Oreochromis niloticus: one gene and its partners. The protein of the gene in region 3 purifies or fractionates together with the protein of the main gene of each other region. This does not show direct contact. Links are inferred from orthologs where the notes say so. Each region holds a gene or a part of one and is shown on either strand. Other genes may lie near its edges.

Region 1 (8,029 bases), on a different chromosome or scaffold from region 3:
ATTGATCCGGTGCACTCCAGAACTCTACACCTATGTCTGAAAAGTACTTCATTCAACAACCACCTAAAAGCTATTTTCTCACAGGAGAAAGAATGCTCAGCACAACATTCCCTCCTCCAACATGTAAACCAGTTGATGACGTTGGGAAGGATTCCGTTTGCTTTTAATCTATCTTTAAAGTCCACACTGATAAAATTAGCAGAGAACAGAAGACCAGTGAGAAGCATAGAGGTTGTCTGAGGATCACTTTTCTCACGACACACCAAAAGAACAGCATAAGATCTCATCACTATGGGAAAAGTACACAATCAGACATTGTTTTCAGCTCCTCTCTTTTCTGTCTGAGCTGCAGAAATATAACCAGCAGGACTCCGGCTGTCTGGCTCATTGCTGCACTTCAGTGGGGAGTGAAAACTTTCCATTGATCTGCAAGCTACACAGTCCTGCCTTAACAAATGCATTTTTGATGAGGTGCTGCTGCAGTGCTCTGTCTGCTGTTACATGCTTCTATTTTAGGCTTTTCATAGTCAGTGATTAAAATGCAAATGTAATTATTTCCCATCCTCATGTGTAAAATTGAAGCATAACAGAGAAAATTTCCCCAGAAACAGAGGGGAAAGTGGCTCTTAAGTACTTTGCTAAGTGAGGCTTGTATAACTTGGGAGGAATACCATTTGTCAGCTTTACTATAGGTGTTACGGTGCCTTATTCTTACTGTCTCTTATTCTTACTTACTTACATTGTATTTTACCATGTTTGTTGTCAATTTGCTAAAACTTTCTATCTTTGTTTTGCTGATACTTCTCACCTGAACACCTGATATTTTACAAATCAAGCAGATCACTTCATTTTTTATTGTCATTTCACCGGCTTCTGTCCTTTTTGGTAAAGAAGGTCTTTAGATTTAAATTTTTAACTTACAGTTCATGTTTGCAGGTTTTCAAATTCACATCTCTGAAGCCTGTTTGTGTCAGCCAAACTTCTTGAAACACCAAAGGGCGTTCACAGTTCTGCAGAGTTGGACTGACATCAGATTAGGAGTTGTCCAAATCTGATGTGAGTCCAGCTCAGCAGTGATTCAGCACTGGTGCAAATGTTGGGTTCAACATTACCAGACAGCTGTAAATGGGTGCAAGAATTTCCTGTATTTTATGCAGTAGATTTGGGGAAGTGGATTAAATTATTAACAGGCCTTCAGTAAAATTCAAGTCCTATAAAAAATCAGATTACACACTTTTATCTGTGCCTTCTGTGATATGAAGCAATGCCTGGACTCTAAAACATCTAACACACTCCCTGAACACATATTTCCTTGTGCAGTCCACAAAGGACCGACCTGCTCTGTTACTTCCTACACAGCTTCATGTATGTACAGGCACAAGAAGAGGAAAAAAAACAAAACAAAGCCCACAACAACACATAACACTCCTGTACTGATTTAAAGATAAAACATTTTCTAATCAGTTTTCTTTGTGAAAAAAACATAAGAGGCCTGCACAGGTTTTCAGTGTACTGTGGAAATAAAGTACAGAAGGCTTGGATCCAGTTCTGGTGTGGAGGAAAGCAGAGAGTGGGAAATTCTTTGCTTTTTTGCCAGCACACGACTGATGTGACACAACAGATAAATATCAGCTACTGATGTGGATAAATGCCATCTTACTTGCTGATATGCCAATATCAGCTAATGACTATATTTGGATCATATATCAGTACATCCTTATGATTGACAGTATTAACATGACTAACATATCATCACCCTTTGGTTTAAAAAGACCTGTTTTGAAGCATCAAGAGCAACAATCCTGCTGTTTTGGCCACAAGTAACTGCATGTGATGGGTCTAATAACCAATGAGAGAGCAGATAATCTCCGCTTTTGAAACAGGGTATCACCAAAAGGTCAAAACAAAAAGTTGTTTTTTCCCAGATTTCAATTGGATCAAAGTCTTTTAGGGGTTTAAGATAGCCTTTCATTCTTCCAGCCAGAAAACTGTGACCATTTTATTTTATGCCTATTATTCTTGCTTAATTTTACAATGCATAGCAATTTAAAACAATGTGGCACCACTGTACCCTGAAGGCAGCAAACATGGGTAATCTTTGTGAACTGGAGATGAAGTGAGGGAGGGCGTGCAGATTAGGATGGTACTCCGAATTTTGTGACTTTTCAACTGTATGAGGACACGGTGTTACTACTTCCATAAAATAAATAATGACGATGAGCTGACAAAGCCTTGAGGTGAAGGAGTGCTGATGCTTGGCAGTTTATGGAAACACAAGCTACAGAAAATACCTGTTTCCCCTCCTTTACATCTGAAAAAACTGTTTTGAGCTCACTCTCCCTCATCTTCTCCCATGCCTTCGGAAACCCAAGGAGGTCATAAGCAGAACAGAATATGATGGCCCAGGCTTAGATGTTATTGTGTTTGTAACTGCTGGACAACTATTCACAGATTACTGCCATTATCTTATGCAAACATCAAATAAAGCATACTATCTACAGTTGAATTAAAACTATAATGTGTTTAGAAGTCTTTAACTAAACTGTTTTCTTAGCTATTCGGTGAGTTTGTCAGCAGGGATTCTTATAAAAAGGCAGAAGGGGAGGCTTAGGGAAGAGGACAGCAGCAGCCATGACTAATTAAAATCCTGCATTGTTCAGAAGTCAGCCACCACCTTCATTTAAAGGCTGAACTGACCCCCTTATACTGGAGTGCCAGGCCAAACTGATAAATCCTGAGGCTGGAAACCAGCCCTTAGAGTAGAGAAGAAAACAAGATGCTTGAGTGCTGTTATATTTAACACATTACCTTCTTTAAAAAAGCAGCAGCTGTCTCCCTCTTTGTAGAAGGAATTTTTTTCATCCCTTCTGGGGACTGCACCCTGATGATCTAAAGGAGAGACAGAAATAAACCCACAATTCAGTCGTTACAGTACAAGCCCGAATCCATTGTAGCATTTCAAACACCTGTCAGTCAAAACCAGGACGCAGCCCCCCCCCCTTTCCGCCCCCCTCCGGTGTCAGTGTCGGGGTATTATGACAACCGTGACAGTGCAGAAAGAAAAGTCGGGTTAACGTCAGCTCATCAACCTCTAGTTTTTAGCTGCAACATGACGATGTTGACATTGAACTACTCTGGAAAGCTGTCAGTGTGTACTGGCTCATTCACAGACTAACTAAATATCACTTTCGTGGTGAATGTGCAACATCACAGCTCCCATCGTTACCGAGCTATTCGTGTTACTGTCATGCTAAAGAGATGAAAGAATATGCCAGTCATTTTAAGCCGGCCGTTATTGTCGCTCTCCCGTTAGCCAACAATGACTCTTTTCATTCGGATGTCGTCAGCTAGCCTACTAGCTATCATATTAGCCGGCTAGCTAAACAGGCCCTGGTCACTCTTAGCTCATGTTAGCTGGCTAATGCTAGCCAAGCTAATTCTGCTGCCTCATCATTCAGGAGTCCAGCTAACAGGCTAGCTAACGTTAGCCGGAGCCCATCCTCCGCTGTACTTACAATATTATCGGCCATGCTGCTCGGGTAGGTGCGCCCGGTAGATTTGGCTTTGTTAGTGGACAGACAGGGTCAAAACAAATACCCCGTAGCGCTGCTGTGTATGTATATGTGTGTGTGTGTGTGTATGTCAGCGAAACTCCATCCCGCAACTCAAACACCGGGTGTTGCACACATTAGCGCCCCCATCGATCCCACAGCGGAGCGACCACGGTCGAAACAAAGAAACTAAGCTAGAAACAAGGGTTCCACTTTTATCATTCTTTCTTTTTCTCCCGTCAGTTACTGCCTCCCACCTGAGCCCCCCCGAGTCAGATCCTTTTTAGTATTAAATATGCTGAAAGATGGGATACAAAATATTCCTTTCACACTGAACATTTTCAGAGATGTTCAGAGGCTCACTACAGCATTGTTGAGCCCTCCTTGTAAGTGCACAACATTATCTTAATTTTATTCTGCTTTCTGAATTCTTAACAATAACTAACATTTTTCATAAAAAAATCACTATCATAAAATATGAGGCATTGTTTTAACATGTGGGATGGATAAAACTACCGTCTGGTCTATGATGATGAAAAGTAGCCCAAACCCTAAACTCTATAACACTATGGTATGAAAATATGGAATTTCTGGCTTTTAAAACTTTTGTACAGTGTTTAAAGGGACAGGAATGTAATTAAGCATTTAAAGGAGATGTGATGGACTGAGTAGTCAGTAATCAGTCAATTTATATTCTGCTTAGGTTTTGCTGTTTTATGTCTCAAACAGTTACTTATAGTTATTTTTTTATTTGTAGGTTCAAAGGAGGGTGATTTTATGTTACTTACTGTACTTTCTGCAGCGTTTTGTACATTTTAAACCATCATTGTGGTCACTCTTACACTTCCTCACACTAGCTGTATTTGGGTATAATAATTTATGATACCAAATCTCTCTCATTCATGTATGTAAAACAGCTGTATTTTAAATGTGATACACTTATCTAGATATGAAAATGTTTTAAACTTTCCAGACCATCACTACAGAAGAAACAGCATTTATTCAAATAAATTAATTTTTAAAAAATCAATGTGTTTTTAATTAATTTGATGATTCCTGGCACTGAGCCTCGTATTTGACATGTATTGTCTATAATCTAAATCCAAAAAAGTTCCCATTATAACAATACCCGTAGTTTTACACGCTGTTCATTTATTATTGTTTTGGCTTGTTTTAAGTACCTACCCCCTGTTTAAATGTGGATGTCTTCATTATGAAGTTAAAGTGACACATATAGGTCTTAGATGTTCCCTCAACATCAAGGGAACATCAACAAACCACAGTACCTGCGTGACATTATGTACTTTGCATATGCAGAATATTTGTGAGGCCACAGAAAAGACAGAAACAGCTTAGAATGAGAGAACAGGTGTTATCACTAAATCCCTACAAGACTGATGAGGAACTCATTTATCTGAGGAACCTTGTGGCTTATGCTCTGTCAGCAGACCTCATAGCTCAGCCACGTGTAGAGGAACAATTTGTTACACTTATGAATGTCACACTGTTGTTATAAATTCTGCTTGTTATGTTTTTGATTCTGGAATGTGCTTTATGGATGAAGATTGTGAGTTGTAACAAAACGATCAAAATTAATCTAATGTGTGCAATAATTTGGTTTCATTGATGCTGTTGTGGCAGCCTTTAGGATTATAAATTATGAGACACCATTCCCTTGGGGGCGGTTGCTTCACAGCATCTGGCATAAAAATCAGAGAAATCAAACATGCGGAGCGAGCAGCTGTGGGCGAGCAGCCGAAAGTAGCTGAACTTCATTCTTAATAAAAGCAGGATGTTCATCGGCTCATCTCCCCAACACAAAGAGAAATGTGAATACACATAATGAAATCAATCTTTCAAGTCTAGAAGCTCTTTTACAGTGTTAATTCAGAATAAAGAGCTTTTCCTTTTCTCTTTTAATGAAAAGTGTTGCCGGACTTTTCAAAAAATAATCTAATTAAGATTATGAAAAACTGGATTTTTTTTTTTAAAGTGAATATATCAGTTTTTATTTGTATTTATTTATTTTGACAAGACAACTTTTGGTATTTTCCTCTGTTGTACAGTTTCAGTTCCTTGTTGCAGGATAACACAAAAACTGACTGAGCTACAATTACGCACGGTAACCACTGGGGCATTGCTCAGTACCAACAAACATGCCAAACTTCACCCTGAGAAACGGCCTAATTTGTACTAAAGAAGAGCAGAAAAAGCGGTCGGCATGAACGAAGCGGATGATCTTCGACAGCACAGCGATCAAAATCCTGAAGAAAAGCCGGAGATGCAACTGCTCGGAGCCCTAAAGCTGCAGGACGAAATAAACCGAAGCGCAGGTGAGAGAAATCACGGATGTTTGATTTTATGGAGCAAACTGCTGGCGTGATGCTAACCTGTTGTAGGGGTGGCTGAGATTTCCACAGCAACAAGTCTTACTGTCCTCTGTTAATCTGACTCGGTTCACAAATGTTCCAAAACGGAAACTGCAGCGCAGCACCCGGACGGTTTACGGCGCGCACACAGCAGGGTGATCTCAGTTCAACCTCACCGAACAAACAGCGTTTCCACCTTTAAGATGAAATGGCTGAATAAGCTGCTCCGTAACTCAAATGTAAAATATAAAAACTATAAATCAAGCACCAACATTCGCTTTATGGATTTGTGCCAGTATTTACAGGTGTGTGTGTGTGTGTGTGTGTGTACTGTATGAGTGTACCAACGCTGATATTGGTATTGGGTCAATAAAAGTGTGATAGCCTTGATACTTTGTTTCTATCTTATATGTTCAGTATAGCTCAAACATGCACTAAGAGGTGCAAATCTTTCAATTTTATTTATAGCCTATAGCAGATTTAAACAACACTAGCTGAACCAAAGTGCTTTAGCGACAGGCACATCTTGATTATTTTGGAGAAAAAAAAGCTGTGTTTTATTATGTTAACCAATGGTACTATCCAACACACTGCACTCCCCTAAATAAGCTGCATTATGTGTTACAAGTATCAGTATTGATATTAATATCGGCAATACTGACCCTGTATTTACTCGTTCTCGGAGCCATACCAAAATCTTTAGTATTGCACTACCACAATTACGCTGCACACTTTATGTGGCTGCTGAGCTGAAATGTTTGCCTTGATGACTATTTTTTCCCTCTTTCTTCAGCAGTTAAACAGAGAATACAGGGCTGTGTACATATATGTACACAGAATAGCTCTGAATGGAGAGCACAAATGTGCTTACTGTGTTTTATTCGTGCAGATGTCCAGCAGCTGATTAAAGAAGAGATGCCTCATGAATGGAGTCCCAGTGTGGAGCAGAAGGTCCCAGAGCACCACCGCATAAAGGAGGAACAGGAAAAACTCTGGGACAGTCAGGAGGGAAAGGCATTTATTTCTGTAAAAAGCGAAGATGAAGAAGAAAAACCTCAATTCTTAGAGCTTCACCAAAGCAAAACTAACAACAATAGCGAGGCAGAGCCTCCACCCAGCAGCTCAGATAAACAGATGAAAACAGAAACTGATGAAGACGACTGTGGAGGACCACAGCCTGCCAAGAACCCAGATTCAGACATTCATTCACCTCTTACAAAGGCTTCTGAGTCTTTTGAGAGTGAAGTCAGTACTGATGATGATAATGATGAAGATGAAGACTGGCAGACAACTTTATCAGATTCTGGAACTGAAACTGATGGTACTGACAATAGCTGGAAGCACACCAGGGCACCTGATTGTAAAAATCTAGTTAGCTGTTCTGAGTGTGGGAAACAGTTTAAGCAAAAGCAATCTCTTAACAGCCACATGACAATTCACACAGGAGAGAAACCATTTGGTTGTGATGAATGCAGTAAAAGATTTCGTAATCGGAGTGGTCTGACAGCTCATGTGAAAGTTCACACGGGAGTTAAACCGTTTAGTTGCAGTCTTTGTGGTAAAAAGTTCTACCAACAGGCAATTCTGAACGCACACAAGATAGTTCACACTAAAGAACAGCGATTTGGTTGCAGCACTTGTGGTAAAAGATTCAAACGTCAAGGTGATCTGACCGTGCACATGAGCGCGCACGCAGAAGTGAAACCATTTGGCTGTGGTCAGTGTGGCGTGAGATTCACACGACAGGGAAGTCTGCTGAGGCACACTGTGCTCCACACGGGAGAGAAACCATTTCATTGTGATATTTGTGATAAAAAATTTTACCGAAGGGCACACCTTATGAGACATGCACCCGCTTGCAGGAATGCTCACGCTGTTGTGTGCGACAAAACAAAGAAACCGTTTGCTTGTGATGAATGTGGGAAACGTTATAAGAGAAACACACACCTTAGGAGACACATGGTTGTCCACACAGGAGAAAAACCTTTTTCCTGTAGTGCCTGTCGTAAAACATTTTCACGACAGGAAAATCTGAAGAAGCACATGAAAGGCCACATATAACAAAAACTGCACGAAGACTAACTGTGTGGTTTGTGTTGGTAAGCGACA
Region 2 (8,017 bases), on a different chromosome or scaffold from region 3:
TTCCTCTTTTTCTGTTATCTTACAGTGGAGGATGAACATGTTAAACATAACCGAAGATTAAAATAAGTAGTTTAGCATATATATAAGTAATGGATGTGAGCCCAGAGCACAGGATTCAAACTGCTCTAAATGCTCAGTTTCACCAGGTTTTTCCTACATTAGGATCTGCATGATGTCAGTGAAAGTGGACATCCTCAAGCACAGCAGTCACAGCTAACTGCAGTTTAGATCTTGTGTTTCCAGGCAGCAGCCAATCAGAAGAAAGTTGGCTTTAAACACCTATAACAGCTCGTTTTGGATGGAGGATGAACAGAGCCTGCATCCAGCCCCAGGTTAAGATAAATAAGGATTATTTTGGACTGTCCATCATGCATAGCTACTCTAACAGTCCAAGAATAAAACTAAGGAGGAGGAAATAAGCACAATGAGGCCCCTTTAAACACATAATTATCACAGTAAGATTTTCTTTAAATTATTTACATTTTTTTTTCTTTTGACAGAAGCTAAAAGTAATAAAATCTACAGTACAAGCACTTCACGCTGTTGGACTCACAAACATCTCCTTAAATGCCGAAAAGGAATTGATTTTGAAAATCCCCCACGGTGGTCATTTGTAAGTTCTTGGCTCATCAGTCTTGATACATTTACCAGGAAGAAAATTCTTTGATAATCAAAGATGATTAAGCTGCACATGTGGGCCTACCTCAGCCTGAAAATAAGTAACATCAGACATGAGTGCAAGTCTCTGTTGCTCTTTCTCTGAGTCACTCTGCGAGTTGTTTACTCTGCAACGGTGTTGTTCGGCACAGAAAGCACGCTGCATGTCAGCACACCGGGAGAGATGAAACGAGGGCTTTGGCTGTCAACGGTCAAACACGAAACACTCCCACAAACCAGTCTGCCCCAGAGGTGCCTGCGTGTGTGCGTCTGTATAAAATCTGCCAGGTATCAACAGTCAACCATCCATCAAATGAACAAAAACAGCAGATCAAACCCAGCCGTGAATTTTACAGCATGGATTATGATGCCATGATGTCATAGGAAACTACAGCTCAGCTACAACAAAGTGTTTTGTTGGATAGGAATCAGAGAGAGAGCAGTGACAGAGAATTCAGGCATTTCCAGGTACGGACAATAAAGAAACCCACACACGGGGCTGACTGACCCACACATGAAGCTACTTAAGGCTATTCAAACATGATCATGAGTGGGACAAATAGCCCTAAGGGGACTCAAATTAATTTTATTTATTGAACAACATGCACGCCAGGCAAATAGCCTATGTGACCTTTCTTAACAGAAGTCTACGCATTCGCCTGTTATTTAAAAAACAAACGCGCCATTCAAGCTTAACTTAATTAAACCCCACTTACATAAAACATGTCAAAAATCAAAGTCCTGGTGAGCTTTCTCTAATGGAAGGCTAAAATCTCTTTGCTGGGCACAAACACTTCTGTGTGTGAATGTGTGCGTGAATGGGTGAATGACTGGATATGTAAAGCGCTTTGGGGTCCTTAGGGACCAGAAAAAGCGCTATATAAATACAGGCCATTTACCATTTACCATATACAGGAAAAACCCTGGTAAAGAAGTATGTTCTGAACATGTTTACCTTGGCCACTCAAGGCTAAAAAGGCTGGCAAAGTTTCACTGAGACAAAGTCACTTAAAATAAGTTAAGCAGATATTTTTTCACTCTGGTGTTTCAAATAACTGCCCACATAAATGACTGGAGGCATTTCAAAAAGGATACCGAGTTGTGGTACTTCTATAAAAAGGACTCTGGCAATGCTGATCCTGGAAATGAGCTCTTGTTTAATAATTTTTTATTAAGAGCATGTTTTGTGTTGCAATCAGACTTGAGGTAAAAAGAATTGTTTCCACATTTTTTCTGATTCATGCACACCATGAATCTGAAAAAACATAAAATAAAAAATGGCGTAGCTAGGAAAGTCTCCAAACACTGGTTTTGGAGACTTTTCTTCCTTTCTGACTCTCTCTAACACCCACATATACATAGATGCACCAAGGCTGCTTGCTTATAGGAAAAGTCGTAATCATGATAAATTTGGTCAATATTCTAAAATATGCACATTATTCACTAGATTAAGAGACACTGCGTAGATACTGGAGTTTAAAAAGTGTCTTTTTCTGGGCATTTTCTTCAACTACGAAAGATTCCTAGTTTGAGGTCAGGAGTAGACACAAACTCTTCTTTGGGGTAGCTCCAATTAAGTGATATTCTTTCACATGTTCACCATAAGAAACCTTCAACGATTTACTTCCTTGATTAGATCTTTGTAGCCAAAAGCTGAATTATAGACACCCTGGTTGGGGTTAAACTAAAAGCTGAACTTTTAGGGAGAGTAAAAACACACCACTCTAAATGAAAGCTGTGCAAAGAAGATGGTCAAGATTATTTTGTTTTCTCAACAATTTGAGAGCAAAATCATAACGGAGATTAAAATCTGACTAAACGTTGAGCCCCAAGTTGCACTTTGTTTGAACTGACCTGGCTGTCAGCTATAACTTGTTTCCTCGTACTCGTCACCATTTCCAGTTTGGCGTTGTTGGGCAGGTTTGCAAACCTCCATGGCCGCGTCAGGTCAACAATAGTCCTCTGAAACCTGCCAAAAATTTTCACAGTGGAGAAGAAAGAGAGCAATTAAATCAGACTAAATGTTTCATGTGGAGTAGCTGGACAGCTGTGAAGAATGATGTATGAGCCTGAGGACAGTACAAACAGTTACAAACAGTTATCAAATTTCAATTTGATTTCATTTTTTGACACATAATTTGTCTTGTTTCTTTTTTTCCTGCAGTGACACCGATTTTTAAAATATAAGTAAACACGATCTGAAACCAAAACAGAGTTGTACAAGATGTGAAAATCGCTTACAACATTTAACTTGCTTAACTTCTTTAACTATATAAATAAACGGATATTTCACATATTACTATTCCGCTACTGTCCAGTGCGATTGTTTATGTATTAAAGTGTATTTGGATGTAATCCAGGTGAAAGGCTTTTAATCTGAAGGGACAAAAACTGATATACAGCTACGTTCATTTGCTCACTTCAAACCGTGATCTTCTGGGTTAAATCCGTGCTTCTTGCAGACTTCCTCCAGCACCTGAAGGCGGAAAATATTACAACACGAGTTATGCCACAAAATCTCCCAAATAATCTGATTTCATCCGCACGAAAACACAAACTGATCAGTCACTGGCTAACAACTGTTAGCCCAGCAAGCTAACTCGGAGGGAAGGAATTTAGTCCGGTTCTATAACCAAAGCGCAGAATTCAATAAGCCGTCCACCTAAGTAAAGATGAAACGCTCCTCTATAACAGTTCACCTGCAGTAACGGCGTGTTTGGAGCCACTTTAACTGTTTGCCTTCTCCCATTGGGAGTGAGAACCGTTACAGCTGTGCCACTAGCAGCCATTGCGTGTCCTGACGTCACAATGTTTGTTTGAATAAGCTTTATTGACTCTGTCGCGGCATCACTTAAAGGTGCAGTTCGTTCAACTTTTAAGATTTTCTTCGTCTCACCTTTATGAGCGTTATTATCCAAACAAAATAATGTTAATTATACAAACATTTAAAAAATTAAGAAGAAATAACCCCCACAATGTTTTAGCGTCCCACTGCAATAGTCAAATAGCACTTAAGAGACATCTGCTTGTCTCTTAAAGTGCTACAACATGAAATAAAATACTAAGAACACAACTTGTACTATCTATTCATATACTAAGCCTTACTGTAGTTTAGACTGGCTAGTAGTTTATTGTCTTTTATTTTAAAAAACGTTACAGTGAAATATTATAACACCAAATTCAGTTCGGTTTGGGTTTATTCATACGGTGCCAATTCAAACAACCATTGTCTCAAAAAGAGCACAGAGAGACAGAAACACAACACATGCTATGGGAGAGGGTAGACACAATTTAATGCCATGCGATAGTGCCATGTAAATGCATCAGGAGTGAAAAGAGTGGACTAGAGAAGAAATGGTCTACTCATTTTTGGGAAGTGTCCCAGCAGCCTGAACCTATAAAAGAATAACTAAGATGCTTTAGACTCATCTGATCCATCCCAAACGCTAAGCTTTATCAAAAAGGAAAGTTTGAAGCCGAATCTAAAAGTAGGGAGGGTGTCTGTTTCCTGAACCTAAACTGGGAGCTAACCTGATACCTGAAGGATTTGCCTCCAACTCTGCTTTTAGAGATTGAACTGCTCCATTGGGACAGTGTGATATTATAAGGTCTATATTTTGTATTCCCAGGGGGAAATAATTTTTGTCTACTTGAAACTAGTGTAATCTAGTGTTAAATTTCTGATTTAACAGATGCATACAATTGTAATTTGTATTTTTTTATTATTGGATCCCATGTTATGTACCGTGTATACTGGCTTACTTAACAACTTACTGGAGCACTTACATAGAAATAAGACCTCATTAATCATATTAATGCCAACTCTTACTTTCCCTTTTGTCAGAATAAACCAAAGGGGTTAGGGTTATTGACTAGTCTGTCTAAATCCAGCTAACTGAATTATTTATGAATTATAAACATGATGTGAATTACATGGAATTTACAGTCACTACATTAACCTAGGTGGAAGGGGAGACTTAAGTTTGGAAAGGTCTTTTCTACACATCCGTTTGTGTGTTAGAAAAAATAATTTGAGTGGATTAACAACATCAGAGTCAATGTAAAAAAAAATCTATCTATTCATTCTGTGAAAAAAAAAACCCTCCGCAGCTTGTATTGTACAGTGTGCATCTAAAAACAATATGAAGATCATTACTCTTCCCTTGACCTTAAAAGCATAATAAGAAAACACAATCTGGCCTCATGAGAGAAGGAAATTGATCCTGTCTGTAAACTGACCACAACACAGTCACACACAGTCAATCTGCTCTCCATATGGAAAACCTAATGTACTGTATGTATGCAGTTTGAGCAACAACAATCAAGGCTGTTTTTTCTCAGCATGGATCAAATTGGATCAAAGCTGGAATAAGACGAGACAAACAACATGACAAGTGGTGCCAACAGATGGAGAGGTGTGAGGCCAGAGCTTAAGAGGCCGAACAACTGACTGATTGACTGACTGCTTCAAGAGCAACATTTAAAGACAAAGTCCACCTGGGAAAGAGAGACAGACAGACAGAAATGAATGCACTTCTCAGTCCTAGTGGGAAATTGCCACCATCTGAACAAACAAACAAACAATCAGTTTCCTTCCTCGCTCAGCAGGACTGAAACTTCAAAACTGTCTGGATAGAGCGCAAACTTATAAAGGCATCTGCAGTGGGTTTTACATGCTGAGAGACCTTTTTTAAGTGTTCCTTTCATCATAAAAAACCCCATCAAAGATCGAAATCAAATTACAGGCAGTGTGTGAATGTTAGACATCAGAGGACGGTGGATCTGGTGAATGAATGGGGACGTTTAAAGATGAGCAGATGTAAAAGAAACAATATGGGCAAAAATAGCTTTCTGGTGTTAAACATATGGCTCATGGGCTACATGTGTCCCACCCATAGGTCCAGTCTGGCCTCCTGGATGGCTTAACAAGATGTGAAAATCTCAGAGAACCTTTCACTTCACCAGGAGTTAACCTCTGTTTTAAGTGGTTAAAATGAATCACATGATTGCAGTGGCTGTACGAATGATTCATTTTATCCAAGTTTCACCATCTTCTTAGAAAAAGAAGCTTTCAGGGATTAAGAATCTCTTTTCTCTTGAACCTAGATGTGCAGAATTATTCTATTCTATTTTTCCAGTGGCTGGAAAACAAGATCTCCGACAGAAGAACACACAAACCACTTCATACTGACAAAGATTGTCTTAATGGGGAATCATACAATGTTTTTATTGACCCAGCACACTTGAAATTAAATTGGTCACATATAAAATGACATTGACACCACTGATGAGTTCTCCAACCAGGCCAGCCAGTGCCAGTTCTCAAACTGCTTTGGGATTCTGTTCATGTATCTGTGAGGTTTAACGACACAATAAGAAGTCAGTTTTGGAAAAAATGGTTGTAAAGGAAAAGTAAAAAGTGGAGCAGATGAAGCGCTGGCTCACATTTACAATAAGGATGAGTCAAAGGTCTTCAATACAGTCAACAGTTGCAACAGAGTTAATAACTGTCACACAATAATCTTAAACTCACATCCCGCAAGCATAGCTTAAATATTTTACGTGTCAGTAATAAGTGTTGATTTATGCTTTAGTGTGACTTAGTGTGTTCGCCCTATCGCTGTGTCTACACATACCACACTCATGATTTAAAAACTTCCAGCGACCTTATCTTCTGTTGTGAAATAGCCCAAAAGATTATCTGATTATCTATCTTGAGCAACAAACACAAAGAAAATGCAGTTTAATTCTGAAGCGCATAAAAAGCCGCAAAACATGTGCATCAGTGGCGTGACCTTCTGCAGCGGAACGGCGTGTCCAACTGCGTTTTTTACTCACACACCATGTTCAATCAAAGACACTTCAAAGGCAGCGCGGTCATATGATGACACAACATCAAAGGGGCCGGGGGTATGAGTGAACCGACTGAGGGGGCGTGCCAGGCATACGCGCGCTCTTGGTGTGAGCCCCACGCCCCGCAAAGAGCATCCGCCAACGATAATAACGATTGGCCCGCGGGAGTGAGAAGCACGGGGGCAGGCAGGGGGGACGGGGGGAGGAGGGGGAGGACCTCAAATAAATTCCCGCTTCATCCGCAGCTTATAAGACCTGAACCAAAAGGCAACAGGTCACTGGTGAGACTGAGCTGGACGAAACTTCAGATATTTTTACGCACGGAAGAACCCGTTTACTGGACGAACTGCGCGCGATTTAAGGAAATGAACTGGAACTGCACGCGCATTTTGCATGAGTTTGAATCCAGATACCCATCTCTCAGGGCACCATGGAGACCCATAAGCTGTTTTTACCCAGTACTGCTGGTATAGGAGATCGTTTGTTTGAAGACTCCGTGCGCTTTCGAAGAACTTCCTGTCGATCTACCCACTCATAGGATATGCTGTGTTTTCTTCAGAGCCCACGCACACACGCGAGGAACGTTCTCCAGAAATAATTAGAAATGCAGAGCCGTGGTGTGGCGAGAAACTCATTTGGACTGTCCGCGGTGCGCTCCTGCTTGCTGCTGCTCTTCATCCACCTGAGCGCACCGGTGGAGGCGAGGAGAGTGCGCGGCGGTCGGGCGCAAACACGGAGGGTGCAGCAGCAGCAGACGCCCCCGCCGTACAGGGAGCGGGTGGAAGGAGCAGAAAGCTTCCCGTTAGACTTCACAGCTGTGGAGGGCAACATGGACAACTTTGTAGTGCAGATAAAGAACTTAGCGCAGTCACTCTATCCGTGCTCTGCGCAAAAGCTGGATCAGGACATGAAGCTGCACTTTTTGAAGAACGTGTCTGTGACTTGCAACGACGGGTCACCTGCAGGGTAAGTGAATGGCCTGCAGATTCTTCATAGTTTCTTAATGACCTTCAGGCGTGATTTAAAACCACAGTTTTGTCATTAATTGGTAAGAATCTGAGACACGGAGGGGTAGATACACCCACCATCCGATCTGCGTTTTACTACTAGTTTAGTTCCGTGTGCTCCATTCCCGTGTCACTCCGGATGTGACCAAAATGGATCAAAGGATCAGATCAGAGAGAGCGCCATGCACGCTGCAAATTAGCGCGTACACGAGAGGGAGGGCGCGAGCGAGGACGAGAGAGGGGCATTTATCCTTGTTCTGGCGACTTTACGATAAAGCAAAATTAAGAGTAATGACAACAAAGATTATAACTAATGATAGTTCAAAGATTTATGGCATTTCAAATGTAGGGTTTTCCACACTGGACGAAATAAAATAATCAGTTTCCCACCTGTGCGAATCACCAGTTAATTCCACTCATTGTCAAAGTTTTTAAACTCTGTTCCAGGTGTAAATTAGAATATATTGTGGGCAAAATATGAATTAAATCGCTGTGAATGA
Region 3 (8,020 bases):
AAGCATCACACTTGTAAAGCCCAGAGCCTGCAGGAACTCCCTGCTGCCCTCCACAGACTTTACTTTCTCCTGAAATAACACAAGGAATCTTATAAGACATGCAAAATTATCTTGTTTTCTTAGAGAGATCCCATGAAGTGTGCTATAAATAATTAGTCTTTATCCAGTAGGCGAGGAACGTTACACACCTGAAACACTTTGTTGTTGAGTTTAATTTTCCTGTATTTCTCTTCTGTGGGGTTCTTGCATATATTTTCAACATATCTGGAAACAAAACAATGACAACAAAAAAACCTTTGATGTCTAGAACAGATATTCAAAATCTGTGACAACAGCATAAAACATTTACATATGTAATTAACATAACCATCAGCGTCTTACTTGCTTATGATGTCCACCGCAGCCTTCACTTTCTCTCTGTCTTTGTTAAATGTGTGCATCATCATAACCGACGCCTCGACTTCATCTTCCTCAAACCGCTGCAGTCAAAAATGGCATGTTTATCAAAAGCACCAACGAGATTAGCATTCAGTCTGACTGCACACACGTTATAACTGAACCAACATCCTCAGACATACCATTAAAATGGCCTCTTTAATGTGTACTTCCCTCTCGCTCTTGGTTAATGTGGCTCCAGTTAGTGGACAGATGAAATAGACACCTGATACTGAGAGAAGGGTGGGATCTTTCACTGGCACTTTGGAGCCCTGGGAGGAAAATGTCATTCAGTGTTGTTAGATTCAGTGATGAAATTTTCATCCACACCAACAGGCCACCGCTATTACTCTGAATTTAATACAGCTCACATGAATAGCTGGCTCCTTTTCTCATATTCTCAATTAGGCCTCACTACCACTGACAAGCATAAAGGGTTTTTTATGCATATAAAAAAAAATTGGTGCCCATAAAAAAAAGAAAGTTCTGGCTTTTCAACTAAAGAAAACCACCAGGATTGTGATAAAAACATTTTAGTACTGAACAGGTTTAAGGTAAATAAGGGAAGACTAAAACAAAAGCCCACTGTCTGGCTGGAGAAAGTCACCTACTTTCCAATATTATGAAACTGACATTGAGATGAACAGCTGTCTGCACCTATGCTGCCCTTTTTGACACTGGACACTGTATGATAGGCTGTGTATAAACAGGAATATTCACTTTAATCAGCCGTGAAAACAGCTTATCAGGAATACTGTCTTCTTCAAAGTGAAAGAAAAAATGGAAATATTTTATGAAGTTAAGCACAGTCGATGTGAACCAAAATTAGCATGAAAATTGTGTCACAATTCTGGTTTATGCAACACTTACCTCTGCTGCAGCTGCCTTTTCTTTTTCAGCAAGTGCAGCTGCCTCGGCCTCGAGTTCTCTTTTTACTGCAAGCACGTGTAGAAAACAACCGTCATAACCAGAATATATTTGCTTCATCAGTGTAAAACAGTATCTAATCATATCTACTTTCCGTGGACTTCACAGGTTTAGCATCTTAACATAAACATAAAGATTATGTACTTGACACATTTTTTCCCATGAATACAAAAACAATGATTTTTAAAAATAAATACTTCTTTGATTCAGGGACGTTTTGCTACCTCAAGTGGAAGAATTTAAATATCTGAGAAGGAAGCAAGAGACTGACAGACTTCTGCAGTGATGCAGGGTGAAGAGAGAGCTGATCAGTGGTCACAAGTTCTGGGTAATGACTAAAAGAATGACACTGTGGATGCACACCTTGGACAGTAGTTTTCTCCGAAGGGTAGCTGGCCTCTCCCTTAGAGACAGGGTGAGGAGTTGATTTGTGAGGGACTCAGAGTAGAGCTGCTCCAAACAACTGAGGTTGTTCGGGGATCTGACTAGTACGCCTCCTAGGTGAGGTGTTCTGGGCATGTCCTACTGGGAGAAGGCCCCAGGTAACACGCAGGACATGCTGAAAAGATTGTATCTCTCAGCTGACCTGGGAACACCTGTGTTCCCCCTAAATGAGCTGGAGGAAGTGGCTGGGGGGAGAGTCTGGGCTTCTCTGCTTAGGCTGCTGCCCTTACTACCCAGCCTCAGTTAAACAGCAGAAAATGAATGGATGGGTGACTTCTTTGATGATGTGGTTTTTCAGAGGTAATAAATGTTTCTGGTGTCTGTTCTTTCATAGATGTACTGGATATATTACAGTAGCAGATAATAAATTTAGAAGATATGACTTTTTTTAACTAGATCAACTGTAATAATCTGTAGAGTGCTTCAGAGTCTAAAACATGTTTAAATACCCACAACTGAATTATCCTAATACCCACAACTGAAACAAGGAGGCTGACGTTCATCTGTGTTTGAACTGAGACACCGCCTGGTGTAATAACAGGGCTGCATGTCTCACCCTGGGTCCTAATGGCGTCCTGGGAGGTGTGAACCTTCGGCTTCTGATGCTGTTCAATCCTGGCCAAGGCTGCAGCTCCAGCCCTCTGGGCTCCTTCACTGGGGGCATGCCGATCGTGCTTGCTACTGGATCTACCCTGCACCACCTCAGGCTTGGCACTGTAGGGTTATTAGGAGAGAAACAGCACTATAAGAGGAGACGTGTTGTGGCTTCACAGTAGGAAGAAGACAGTGCTAAGCTAAGTAGCAACGACAACAGTACAAATACGTCAGAATCACAGCAGCTCTGCTTCCTGTTGAGAAGCAGGTTTGCTTAGTCCTTTATCTAAACAAGCTTGTGCAGGGATTAACTGTTAGTCAGGTTACCCTGAAATTATACAGTCGCCTCCCGCCGTGCTCAAGATTATATAACAGTTAGCCGTTTGACGCACAACCGTGAGAAAAACACACACAAATTAGCACTGTTGTGGTTAGCTTCAATACATGGGGAGACGGAAAAGCGGTACTCATTACTGACCAACTGTCAGCTATGAGATAAGCCCGTTTAGCCGATGTTAAATAGCTATCTGTACGGCTAGCTTTGCTTAGCGCTGTAGCAGCTGAGAAAAGAAAAGTTTGTTATTTGCCTGGTGTCTTCCGTTAGTTTCTTCCCGGGTCCCGCGGATTTAAATTTGATGTCTTTCTTAATGTCATCGAAAAACTTCTTCATTTTCTGTAGCCGCACAAAAATCTGACCACCAGGGAAAAACAAACAGATGGGCAGCACCCAGCCTGGTTTTAGCGAGGAAGAGGAGGACCACAACAAAATTGTTTCAAATGAGAACAAACTGCTTCCGCCTCATCAGGAGAGACGGTCGCCCCCTCGTGGTTGAACTCAGAAGTGAAAGTCCAACCATTCCAGATCAGTGGTTCGTGTTTTACAAGGCAACTTTTTTATAATTGACCTTTTTTTTTTCTTTTGTTTGTTTACATGTACTTCCATGTTCTCAGAAATTTGTGCATATTACCCTAGTATTGACTGGCTCAAAGGTCAGCACAGAAATTGGTTTGTGTTGATTATCGTTTTAAAATTAAGTGTTTTAATCTTACAATTAGATTTAGAACTAGTCTATTAACAGACTATTGTGGCTATTTTTTCAGGTCAATGAACTGAACTGAAATGAGTATACAGTATCAGCTGGGTGCTGCTGATAATCATCCAGTCTGACACCTGGCATTATCAGAGCAGCCCCCTCTAACTCTTTAGGTGTCTGAGGATTCTGGATTTGGGAGCCTGACAGGATCCTATTTGGAGCTGCTGTGTTGTCAGCCATGGACTCTGTCACCAAACAACAGTCGGGTTTTGTGCCAACGTTTCAGCAGCTGGATCATACAGCTCTCAAGGCTGCTGCTGAGAGCTGTATGAAATAAGCTATTCTTATTTCTGTTAATGATAAGAGACAATAATGATTTGGGGTCAGCAGGGCTGCTGCCATCTCATTTCTGTAGCTATCTTTTGTGTGTGTGTGTGTGTGTGTGTGTGTGTGTGTGTGTGTGTGTAGGGGGGGGGGTTCAATGTAAGTTTTTTTTAGGACGTGCATGAAATAATTAAAGGGTAATACATGCTTTCTCTTCAGATAAACACAATTCATATGCTAATTGTTAGAAAATGAAGATAAACACACACACACACAAGTGGAGATATGTACATTAGCTGGTTCATTGAAGCTGACTGCTCTGTCTCTACCTGTCTGATGGTTTACCTTTGATTACATTCATAAAGCTGTTAAAGACTATCAAAGACTGTTAAAAACAAGTAGAAATATTTTGCATTTTACATGATTTGAATACAATATTTATAGTGAAAAATCATGACAAGTAGTATGACATAAAGCGTGCATGATTCAAAACATGTCAGCAAATGCAGATATATCAGAAAAAGAAGTGCATTTTCATCTCTTTATTAAAGAATTAAAAGAAACTGTCAACATATCTCTTTGGGCTCAGTAGGCGAAGCCATAAAATTTATATAAATAAAATTTACAAAAATACAGTTAGTCGTTCATTTTGCTTCACATTTTCCAAAGCTGTCCAGAGGTAATAAGAGTCTTTGCTGGTGTGGTGCAAAAAAACCGATTAGCTATATTTAAAATGCTGTACATGACTTGTTGCAATATAATCTGACAAGAAAATTTCAGACATGTTTCTCAAACATGATTTCAAGACAAAATAAAAGCTGTGATCAGTTTTTGGCAAGGGGACTTGTATATATCCTTCATTTATCCTGGTAAAAAGGGAAATTGACGTCAAAAATGTATTTTTCAAGAAAGATGTGCCCAAGAGGGCAGCAGAAATGGCAAGAAATGGTTATCTCAAGATATTTTAAGTGGCCAAAATAGAGTGCTGTGATTATAAAATAGGTAAAATCAAGAAAGGTTCTTGCAAAACAGGCCATGTCTTTATTTTATATATAACCTTTTCAGAAATCCTATTGACTACAGTCTATTTAACAATATAAGCAAATATATTACATAGATAGAAAACAGTTTTTGGCACAACACCTGACAGATTCTGGCTCCCGTGCCTTTTTTCCCCCACACTCCTAGCATAGAGTGATTAAATTTACAGGTGGCACTTGAACGCATCTCTGACTTGGCTACACATACACACGCGCACACTGATGCCACGTCAAATGTGACGTAGCAGGAGGTGTATTCCGGGAGGGAGGCGTATAGTGACCAGTGCGAGCGAGTAGTCATCGATTGGCATTAATGATCTTACACCGGAGAGGAGTCTTTGTGAGAGGTAAGAGTTAAATATTTGATTTACTTCTATCTGCTATGTGTACAGCGAGCCGAGCGGTTTCCCGCTCCTCAGTCGGGCGGATATTTGCTAACATGTGCCCGGCTGTAGCTTGACTGATGCGCAGACCGCGGCTAACTATCATATACAGTGACTGAAAATGTGGTTCACTAAATCTACGCGCTTCTTAGCAACAGTCTGTATTATTACACTGTGCTAACACTGGATTTATCTGTGCTCCGAGTCAACACAGCAGTCCCTGCTACCTCTTTACAGGCTCAACGTCGCGGTCATGCTGGAGACGTGAAGTTTAAAAGTTGTATGAACACTTTAACTATAAGTGATATATGAATATTGTGTATTACAGCTGTAGATAGTTCAGGGTGTGTGCCTGTGGTGTTAGTCGTCAGCATCCCATTGGAAAGCTCACTTACAGAGGAGGTTTCTTTGGTGTAAACCCTCTTAGAAAACATCGCGGGTTCATAATATCGCGTTGTGACACAGCTATTATTTTACTGTTGTAATTATCAATCATAATAAGCAAACATATTGGGTATAAAAGAGTCAGTATTCACACTGTGGTATAACATGAAACTGTCCTCGACCTTATCCTTTAGTGTTGTGATGACTTCCTGTCAAATGTGGGTGTGGAGTCAAACAAATAGGATAAGCATTCCAGCAGTGCTTGTTTTACCAACACTACAACTAGCACAGGGCTATAAGATACTCTTATCATGTTTCACTTTAGGCACATTGACTATGTCATCAGTTTTTTTTTTTAATCCTAAATTTGTTTTTATATACACATACAGTTTCTTGGGAGCTCAAAATGAGCTTTTAGTGGTAACTGTGCCAATAAATATGACTGGTCCACATGAATTTTTTGGAAAGAGTCTGTGTTACCTTATCTAACAGATTATTTCTGCAATTTTTTGTCAATTTTACTTCAAAAAATGTATTTAAGGGTGAATAAAACCTCACTGTTTAAAAAAAGCTACAAGTATTTTTAATAAAGTCCTTGCGGAAGGCCAGATCTATATGTGGGGAAAAACCCTGCAAATGTTTGGATATTGTAGTGTGACCTTTCTCTTATCATCTCTTTTTTTATATTTACATAAAGGCCACCGGCTTATACAAAAACAACACGAGACCTGGGGCATTTTTTGCAGTTCTTTTTAAATAACATAATCTTTTTTTCCCACAGTTAATTAAAAGCACAGGTGATCATGGACCCAAACATCAGCGCACTCAGGCAGAAGCTGGCTGACGCCGGCCAGTCTCACCTCCTGCAGTTCTGGAACGAGCTGAGCCCTGAAGAACAGGCCGAGTTGACCCAAGAACTGGAGGGTATGGACTTTCAGGAGATCAACGGATTCTTCAAGAATGCCATGCAGACATCCAACAGCAGCAAACAAGGGAAGATGGACTGCCGCATGGAGCCGGTGCCCAGGGAGGTGCTGGGAAGTGTGACGAGAGACAGGGAGAGCGTCAAAGACTGGGAGTTGACAGGTGAAGTATATTCTCACCTATTTACTGCTTTTGACCTTTAAACTGTACTTACTCGGTATGCTGAGTGCTTTAAGGAAACAGAAAGCATTAGAATTGGGAGTATTTAGTTTTAATGAGAATATGTAAGCTATTATCACTTGTTAAACAAGATTCTCCTAGTTACTGCAAGCACATTTAACACAATGAAATCTTAACAGTGATGACCTGCAGGTAAGAGAGGAAAGCTTAACCGGTATCAGACTGGGAAGCTTAAGTGGATTAAAACATCACATGGGTAACCCAGCTGGATGAATAGTTGTTCTCATGGCAATATTTTTAAGTGTCCACATCCAGATGTTAGCTCGCAGAAAAACAGCCCATTAGATCAAAACTTTTGCAAAAGCTTATTACAAAGTTCTAGTCATGCTGCGTCAGAAGCTCCATGTTTATCCATTGTGCGTTTCTGTGCAAGGGTTGACATTTGAGTAAGTTGCTGGCATTATTCATTATGTTTTGCGCAATCCCTCATGCTTCATTCTTCCCGGGGCTGTGTGACGATCTCAGTGGGCAGCAGAAACATCTGGTGTTGATTTGTGCTTGACGTAACTGGAGTTCCCTCTTGACCCTCAGTCATGAGCTCATTGTGATCTGTTGGGACCAAATCTCTGTTGCTGGGTGTGGGGCATGTGTCAAAGTTTATGGATTAACCCACTACATAAAACTTGCTTCCTGGCACCAACCAGTAGGAAGCGAGTTTCATATCGTGTCACGTTGCTGCAGTTTATGTAAGACAAACTGGAATCATTATAAACTATTGGTACATTGAACCATAGTAAAATCTTGAGTGGGGTTGTAAGATTTTCGCTCATATAATGTGTCACGTCCACAAGTACTCCAGAACCAGTCATAAAATGTTGCTAAACTGCTTGGATTAATGTTATCAGAACTGTTTTGTTAAGTTTATTATTATTCATCTACTAACCAGGCAATAAGAGGTCTGCAGAGATTAGATACTGTGCACTGTGTACCATCATATCAGTGTATAACACTAAATGCATGGCCCTGTCTTAAATAAACTACAGGACACATTTCTGCTACTATTTATGACCGTTGTGCTGTGTTGCCCTTTAGGTCTTCAGTGCATCTCTAAGAATAAAGTGGCAGTCTTACTGCTGGCAGGAGGCCAGGGAACCAGGCTGGGGGTCTCGTACCCCAAAGGCATGTACGACGTTGGGCTGCCGTCCCACAAAACCCTCTTTCAGATCCAGGCTGAGCGCATCTTGAAGCTGCAACAGCTGGCTGAGCAGACGCACAAAACCAAGTGCTGTATCCCCTGGTGAGACACGAGGTTTTCATGACTAAGGCATTTTAGTCGACTAAATCTACAGCT

Evidence for each region.
Region 1: the proteins of ubxn6 (region 3) and nploc4 purify together in Homo sapiens (affinity purification with western blotting; 3 studies listed by BioGRID and IntAct, with this or other methods). This does not show direct contact. The link is inferred for Oreochromis niloticus from reciprocal best matches to the Homo sapiens genes UBXN6 and NPLOC4.
Region 2: the proteins of ubxn6 (region 3) and aspscr1 purify together in Homo sapiens (affinity purification with mass spectrometry; 4 studies listed by BioGRID and IntAct, counting the BioPlex papers as one, with this or other methods). This does not show direct contact. The link is inferred for Oreochromis niloticus from reciprocal best matches to the Homo sapiens genes UBXN6 and ASPSCR1.

What each region holds. Positions count from the first base shown.
Region 1 is NC_031973.2:3,597,629-3,605,657, forward strand, and holds the start of nploc4 (nuclear protein localization protein 4 homolog), read right to left. Parts: upstream 3,727-8,029; 5' UTR 3,531-3,726; coding exon 3,516-3,530; intron 2,890-3,515; coding exon 2,809-2,889; intron 1-2,808. Other genes in the region: oocyte zinc finger protein XlCOF6.1, read left to right, coding at 5,773-5,884, 6,810-7,981. UniProt on the Homo sapiens protein: The ternary complex containing UFD1, VCP and NPLOC4 binds ubiquitinated proteins and is necessary for the export of misfolded proteins from the ER to the cytoplasm, where they are degraded by the proteasome.
Region 2 is NC_031971.2:32,711,268-32,719,284, forward strand, and holds the start of aspscr1 (tether containing UBX domain for GLUT4), read right to left. Parts: upstream 3,495-8,017; 5' UTR 3,447-3,494; coding exon 3,357-3,446; intron 3,134-3,356; coding exon 3,078-3,133; intron 2,627-3,077; coding exon 2,512-2,626; intron 1-2,511. Other genes in the region: inactive palmitoleoyl-protein carboxylesterase notum1b, read left to right, coding at 7,115-7,476. UniProt on the Homo sapiens protein: Tethering protein that sequesters GLUT4-containing vesicles in the cytoplasm in the absence of insulin. Modulates the amount of GLUT4 that is available at the cell surface. Enhances VCP methylation catalyzed by VCPKMT.
Region 3 is NC_031986.2:39,717,834-39,725,853, reverse strand, and holds the start of ubxn6 (UBX domain-containing protein 6), read right to left. Parts: upstream 3,205-8,020; 5' UTR 3,071-3,204; coding exon 2,988-3,070; intron 2,521-2,987; coding exon 2,363-2,520; intron 1,371-2,362; coding exon 1,306-1,370; intron 708-1,305; coding exon 579-707; intron 480-578; coding exon 382-479; intron 265-381; coding exon 189-264; intron 70-188; coding exon 1-69. Other genes in the region: uap1 (UDP-N-acetylhexosamine pyrophosphorylase), read left to right, coding at 6,369-6,651, 7,762-7,966. UniProt on the Homo sapiens protein: May negatively regulate the ATPase activity of VCP, an ATP-driven segregase that associates with different cofactors to control a wide variety of cellular processes.